Ovis aries: one gene and its partner. The protein of the gene in region 2 binds, or shares a complex with, the protein of the main gene of each other region. Links are inferred from orthologs where the notes say so. Each region holds a gene or a part of one and is shown on either strand. Other genes may lie near its edges.

Region 1 (3,683 bases), on a different chromosome or scaffold from region 2:
CTTGCAGAATTTTTTTAAAGATAAAAATGGAGAAATAGTAGTAGTTTCTCAATCCAGTGGAAAGAAAAAATCCTAGTTTACAACTTTTTAAACAAGTTTTGTTTTAATACGTTAGAAAAGTTTGTTACTTTAAAGTTCAATTTAGCCCTATTGTTAAATGTATTTGTACCTCAACTTTTGCTTATGGGATACACTTTTTAAACTGCACTAAGGCTTCTTAATTCTAAGAACAAAAAGTAGCAGACATGGGTGGTTTGGTTCTGGGAGTACTACCATGCCTGCTAAGTTGCTTCAGTCGTGTCCGACTCCGTGACCCAATAGACTGTAGCCCACCAGGCCCCCGTCTATCGGATTCTCCAGGCAAGAATACTGGAATGGGTTGGCATGCCCTCCTCCAAGGAATCTTCCCAACCCAGGGATCGAACCCATGTCCCTTATGTCTCCTATATTGGCAGGTAGATTCTTTACCACTAGCGCCACCTGGGAAGTACCATGGATACAACATTTAAGGTTAACTGAGCTGGAAACAGACACACTGATGTTCATATGCTGACAAGCTTTGAAATTTTAAAATTTTAAATTATTTTCTTCTATTATCCAATACATTTGGCTTCCTACTGCAGTCCCTACTTTTACTTATTTTGGGGGACAGTTTTGTAAAAGAATGATGAAACATAAAAAGAGAAATTATAAAGAAACAAACACATACGTCTAAAATACAATATAAAGATTAAGACTTTAAGAAAATAGAGTTGTGAATTTTTTAAACTATTTTATATAAGACTGAATATAGAATGGGAATGAGGGGATCTCCATTCAAATTCTCAAAGGGATACTTCCAAAGAAATAAATATATACATATCTCTTAAGAGATTATCTCCAAGTTATCTGGATCCCAAAAAGGCACATTTACAGGGTGAAACGTTCATTAAATTGAGAGGCAAAAGTGAAAACGAAATTCTCTTTTCTGATACAGTAACCCACTTGGCAGCTCCTCTTCCTTACCACTTTGGCTCTGTCCATCATCCTGTCACCCACCTAACACATCATTCCCAGATGCTGCATTCCAGCTCATCCCCAGCTTTACTTATCACCTAGCTGCCTACACAATAAATGTACCAAAGCTGTGGGGAAATACATAATATCAACATACTGAAACCAAAGCAATGAATTTATTGGTAATAATAGTCTTTGACATGACATCAGAAGACACTGGTTTTATTTCTGAGCTGCCAATTGTTTGATTAGGACAAATTAACATTTCTAAGCTTCCATTTCCTCATTCATAAAAATAAAGATATCACCCACCTTCATAAAGTTTTGCTAAATACTAATTAAAAAATTAAAATTCAATTAAGATAATCCTATACGTTATAGAAACTAAGCATTATTACTATGGTAATCTGCCAAAATTTGAAAGAGCCTAACTAAAAGAAATAACCATAAGAGAGGTTGACTTATATGAAAAATTAAATTGTACTCTTTAAATAGGCTGTGACTTTGAAATCTCATTAGAAGTTTTCCTCCATGGGGAACTTACCACCTCTGCCACCTCTGCCACCTCTGCCTCTTCCTCCTCCTTGACCTCCCCTGCCACCGCCTCTCGGAGGTCCCTTTTCACCAGGAGGTCGAGGTAGAAACCTCTGCAACGGCAGCAGCTTATATGGGTCTATATAAAACTGGAAGTAAAATAGAAACAATTAGTGTGATGAGCTGGGGGATATACAATATAATAATTAAGAACCGGTATACAATATAATAATTAAGAACCGACACACTAGACTCAAAACTGCCTGGGTCAAATCCCAACCCTCTAACTTCACTAGTGATACACTGAGGAAGTTTCCAGTGCTTTTAAGTAAAACTGTCCTAAGGTAGGTCATTCATTTATAAAACCAAGGATCTAGGTGTTAGCTTGACTCACCTTCTGTAGTTTTTTAAAGGAAGATGCTTTCATGTTCTCTGATAATTTAACTGAAAAATACTATTAATTTTATTAAGGAATAAACAATTATAATGAAAGATAATCTTCTGAATTCACATGTCATTTTTAAAATAACAAGGTTAGAATATACAGAAATATTCACGAAAAGTAAGAAATGAGTTTCCAAACAGAAGTGAAGTTTTTGTTTTAAAACTTCCAGGTCCACCATACTATTGCAGTAGCATCATCATATCAAAAACAAAGTAACTCAAATGGCACTGATCCAAATGACAATCATTTCTAAAAGCTTAAAAAAAGGAAGGCACACTTAAAGAGGCCTATCTTTTCAATTTATGTGGAAATATATTCCCCTGTCTTGATTCTCCTTTATGGTCCAATCTTAGCAATACTGCATCCACTTCAGTGAAGCACCAAGTTCAGTTTAATCAATACTTATCTCCAGAAAAACACAAATCATGACCTTTCAACAGGATTGCTACATCTTCCAATTAAAAAGGATACAAAATCTCTAAGCTGTCCAAATATTTCGTCCACTTTTCCAATTTGTTCTTTGTTTTCTAAATAAACTGGAGCATTGAAATAAGGTACTTTATTTTCATCTGTGGTACATTTACACACTATGTCATCTTCACAAGGGTGCAGGAACTCTCCTAATACTAAAATAGGACATAAAATTGTTAAAATATAAAACAGTTTCAAATGATATTGACCAACCTCTTCTAGAAGCTTTCCTCTTGGCTGCCTGGGATTTCACCAGCAAAAAAGCCTTCCTGGCTTAGTACCAACTCCACAAAATACTAGCTATGTGACCTGGAGTAAGGGTCTCACCTTTTCTATTCTTCAGTGCCTTCATCTTTAATGTAGGGCTAACAACAAAACCCTTGGCTAACACCTAGTACTGTGAGGATTAAGCACAACAATAAGTGTCAAGTGCTTAGAAAGTGCCTGGCATATTGAGACCACTCAACCTGTAAGTTATTTTGTTATAGTTACTATTATTATTTGATTAAATGCTATGCTTCATTCTATTGTCTCTTCTTCCTTCTCCCCATCCATAACTCTAAGACAGTCTGTTGTTCTCCTGCCTTTTCCCCCCCCTTCCCCTTTTAAAATTTCCCACTACTACCTTTTCACTGACTCTTCGATCCTTACCAAGAAAGTCTGGAATTTCATATAACTACCTTTATATCTAACTTCTATCCACCCCAAACTAAAATACTCACCATATTCCTATAAAACCAACTCTCAATTCCCATCACCCAAGTTCAAAATCAAGAATCTTTTATTTCTAGTATTAGTCAAGTTCTAAGTTTGTTTCCACTGAGATTTCTCTCCCATCTAACCCTTCCTTTTTTCTTCACTTTCCCAATGCTCTCAATGTGTCATGCATGGACTGTTACGGGACAGGACCTTTGATTCTAGCCACTGACCTCTACACCATTTTGCATACCGATCCAACTTTCTCTTCATATATTAGACTCTATTTATCCTGTCTCTTCTTTAATGCAGGCTTCTACTGTCAAATTTCTGTCTCACTTTCTAAAACTTCCACCCTATATCTTTGATAATTACCCCAAAACTGCTCTAATTAGGTCTTTATTATTTTTTTTACTCCCCTGTGCAGTTTCCCTTCTCAGCAAGTTGTGGGTTTTTTTGCTTTTTTTAAACTCACTTCACTTATTTAGGAGTGGCAATTAAGAGTCAGGAAACTTGGCTTTGTATCTCATATATATCCCTT
Region 2 (3,809 bases):
CTGCGTCTCTTCCTGGGCCCCGTCCCTGTGGGTTAGGGCCCCCCTTATGCGCTCGTTTGACCTTAGTCATCTTCTCAAAGGCCTTGTCCCCGAACGGCCGCGGGGGCGGGCTCACCCTGTGAATTTGGGGATGCAGTTGAGCCCCTGGCGGCCCTCTGCCCCCGCCTCACCCTGGGATGGTGCAGCGAGCCCCAGGCTTTGCACAGACGTGGAGGGCTGAGGAGCAGTGTGGCTGCAAGCGTGTCCTCTGCTCTGTGAGGAGCGAGCCGTCTCGGGGCGCTGCTGGATGGGGCTACCCTGTCCTGCGCTGCTAGCCCAGTCCTGCTGGGGGGCTGGGGGCTGCCCCCAGGCGCTCCCTGGGAAGACGCGGGGCGGACGCTTGCCGTCCGTGGTTCCGTGTGTCCACCTGCTGCTCCCGACACTCCCTGCGTGTCCACGCACCGACTGCGCCGGCGAGTCATGACCCGCCCACTGTCCTGTCTGGGTGCCCGTGAAGCTGTGACTGTGTGGGGGACAGGTAGCCTTCCTGGCCGATCAGTGTAGCCGAGGGGCGGGACATCTAGGTGTGGGTCAGTGCTGGGTGGACACACTTGCTTCCCTGGACCCCACCCTGTCTCACAGTTACGCCCGGACGTCCATCAGAGCGAGTCTCACCTTCACCCAGGGCTTCAAGCCCGGGAGGAACATGCGTCGCAAGCTGTTGGCGGTCCTGCAGCTCAAGTGCCACGGGCTCTTCCTGGACCTGCAGGTTGGGGGGCAGGGCCGCGGGGCGTGGGGGCAGCTGGCCCCCCATGTGTTGTATTTCCTGGGGGAGTGGGTGGGCAGGTGCACACTTGTGTGTGGAAGGACGTTGGTCATCACACACGTGTACGTGTGACTGAGCGTGTGGGTGCGCATGTGTGCCTGTGTGTGAAAGGACGTTGGTCATCACACACGTGTATGCGTGACCGAGCGTGTGGGTGTGGATGCTTGTGCAGCTGTGTGCATGCCTGTGCCCACAGCGCTCACCCCACCGTCCTCGCCTTGTCCCTGCTCGTCCCCTTGGGCCGGGCCTTTGTGGCCCTTGCTTGTCCCCCTGGGGCCTGAACCGTCGTCCTGCCAGGCTCCCGCCCTCTCCCTTCCCGCGGGCCTGGCCGCCTCTGAGGGCCCCTGGGGACCTGGTGGGTTTCCCCAGAGAGGCCACTGGGTTCTTCCCGGGGCGACCCTTTTTCCTGCTCCGCTTGATGGGGCCATAAAGCAAACTCAGGAACGCAAAGCGAGAGGTGCCGCCAGCGTTTTCTTCTCTTTTCTTTCTGAAGGTGAACAGTCTCCAGACGGTTTTCACAAACGTGTACAAGATATTCCTGCTGCAGGCCTACAGGTGCGTCTGGTGGAGGATGGGGCCTCAGCCGCAGTGCTGCGCTCGCCCGGGACCTGGGGGACACGCTGCTCCCCAGTGCGATGAGGCAGCCCCTGAGTCCTTGGTGTCCTTGTCCACCCTGGGAATGCTGCTCTGTCCCCAGGGAGTACTCAGGGGTCTCGTCAACAGGGGGAGGGCTGCAGGGCGGGGCAGGGCAGGGCAGGGAGCAGAGATCAGTGTCTGCGGTGGCCCCCAGCCCTCAGGTGCCCCCAGGAGGGGCAGCGGGAAGCCGCACCAATTGGCACAGACTAGCTTCCGGAACATTCCCCGCCCTGGGGCCATGCCACCCGCCAGGTGCTGAGCTGGGGCGCAGGCAGCTGACTGTGGAGTCCGGGGCTCATCCACCCCTAACCGGGACCCCGAGCCAGGCTCGGCCTGCATGGTCTCCGTGGAGCCCCTCTTGGGCAGCGTGGGGGGGGCGTGTCCTGACGGGGCCGCCGCCCCCAGGTTCCACGCCTGCGTGCTGCAGCTGCCCTTCAGCCAGCCGGTCGGGAGCAGCCCCGCGTTCTTTCTCCAGGTCATCATGGACACGGCGTCCCGAGGCTACACCCTCCTGAAAGCCAGAAACGCAGGTGCTTGGGCGCCCGGGGCTGAGGGCTTGCGGGGGCGGGGACTTGAGCTGCAAGTCACCTACACCCGCCGGCAGGAGATGGGGCAGGAGACGGGGCCAGGGCGCCTCTACCTTGCTGGCGGCTCAGGCCCTCCATTGGCCTGTCGTCCGCTGCCAGCCTGGAGTGACCAGGCACCTAGGCACCAGCTGGGGATCCTCCCCTGCGTGCCCCGCCTGCTCACGGGCAGCCCTCCTGTCTCGGTGCCCTGGGCATTGGGTCAGCCAGGCCAGCGGGCAGCAGGAGGCCCTGGGCCGCCCTTGCCCACACTGGGGAGGAGCCTGCTGAGGGACCCCCGTGTGCTTTGGGGTCACCAGCCCTCAGCTCGGCCTTCCTGGGGCATCCCCGTGCCCGCCCCCACGGCCTCGGCCAGGGCCCTGAGGACCCGTCCGAGGTCCCGGCTGTGCGGCCTGTGAGGCTTGTGCAGACTTACCGTCACTGTCCTTGTTCGTGGAGGTTTCTTGGAGAAGTTGAAGGAAACATCTGTTGTCAGAATTCCCTGGGCTCCTATCGGGGTTGCGCCTGGGGCGAAAGCGCTGGTTTTCCGCCCCCAACATTGTCCCACAAGCGCACTGAGGGCTCTCCGCCTGGAGGCCCCGGTCTCCCTAGCGCGGCGTCGGGCAGGGCCTCAGTCATGCGTGTCCCCAGGGGCGTCGCTGGGGGCCAGGGGCGCCTCCGGCCTGTTCCCGTCTGAAGCGGCACACTGGCTGTGTCTCCACGCCTTCCTGCACAAGCTGGCTCGCCACCGCGCCACCTACAGCCGCCTGCTGGGGGCTCTCCGGACAGGTGGGTGTGGGCGGACACAAGGCGGCCCCTTCGGGCAGGTGGGTGGGCCCAGGAGTTTCCACGAGCCGGGGTCACAGCCCCGCCCCGCCCAGGGCACACCCAGCCGGGTCACGCCGCCTCTCACGGCCCTTCTCGGGGCCTCCTCCCCGCGGCGTCTGCCCACCAGCCCCCTACCTGTGTCCCCTCGGGCGCTGCCCAGCTGCCCCCGTGGCTCCGGGCGTGATGGGTTGTCTCCCCTTGCTGAGGCTCCCACCCCCCAGCTCGCCGGCACACAGCCGGCCCAGCGTGGGTGCCCGCGTGGCCTCAGTGGTGTGCCTGGTAAGCAGCGGTCTCTGGCGCCCCCCGAAAGGGGCTCTGAGTGCATCCCCCTCTCCACAGCCCAAGCTCGGCTGCACCGGCAGCTCCCAGGGCCCACACGTGCCGCCCTGGAGGCGGCGGCCAACCCCGCTGTGACCGCAGACTTCAAGACCATCTTGGACTGACCGTCAGCCCTGCCCACAGCCAGGGGTGGGCTCTGGAGCCCATGGGAGGCGCCTGCTCCATGGCGAAGCCGGGGCCCCCCCGAGAGCCCTGGGGAGGGGGCCCCGCTGCCCTGTGCCCCTCCAGAGACCATGCATCTCCAGTAGCTGACCGCCAGGCCCGGCAAGACGTGCGGGAGAGCCTGGCAGGGTGGTTGGGTATCGGAATAGGGAGTTGGGGGGGGGTTGTCACCCCTCTCCCCTGCACTGGAGTGAGGACACGTCTGTCCAGCGGCTCGGGGGGTCTCGGGGGCTGAGTGGGCCCTGCCCGCTGCTGACAGTGCGCCTGCGCCCCGCCCGGCCCTTGGTCCATGCCTTTCCCCCCACCCGCTGAGCTCGAAGTCCAGCCTGCTGGGCCTTCCCCGCAGTCAGCTGCTGGGGGCCCCACCCTCACCCCTGGCCCCACCATCCCCACGCCTGCCTGCCCCTCCACCTCCGCGGGCACCTAGTCCCTGCCCGGCCCTCGGTCAACGCCTTCTCCTCCACCCGTTGAGCTCG

The links.
Region 1: TERT (region 2) and GAR1 share a complex: the UniProt entries of both Homo sapiens proteins name them as parts of the telomerase holoenzyme complex. The link is inferred for Ovis aries from reciprocal best matches to the Homo sapiens genes TERT and GAR1.

The regions. Positions count from the first base shown.
Region 1 is NC_056059.1:15,946,574-15,950,256, forward strand, and holds part of GAR1 (H/ACA ribonucleoprotein complex subunit 1), read right to left. Parts: intron 2,602-3,683; coding exon 2,447-2,601; intron 1,985-2,446; coding exon 1,925-1,984; intron 1,680-1,924; coding exon 1,541-1,679; intron 1-1,540. UniProt on the Homo sapiens protein: Required for ribosome biogenesis and telomere maintenance. Part of the H/ACA small nucleolar ribonucleoprotein (H/ACA snoRNP) complex, which catalyzes pseudouridylation of rRNA.
Region 2 is NC_056069.1:71,204,057-71,207,865, forward strand, and holds part of TERT (telomerase reverse transcriptase), read left to right. Parts: intron 1-621; coding exon 622-748; intron 749-1,257; exon of another isoform or gene 1,258-1,298; coding exon 1,299-1,360; exon of another isoform or gene 1,361-1,846; coding exon 1,847-1,971; intron 1,972-2,440; exon of another isoform or gene 2,441-2,655; coding exon 2,656-2,793; exon of another isoform or gene 2,794-3,171; coding exon 3,172-3,275; 3' UTR 3,276-3,809. UniProt on the Homo sapiens protein: Telomerase is a ribonucleoprotein enzyme essential for the replication of chromosome termini in most eukaryotes. Active in progenitor and cancer cells. Inactive, or very low activity, in normal somatic cells.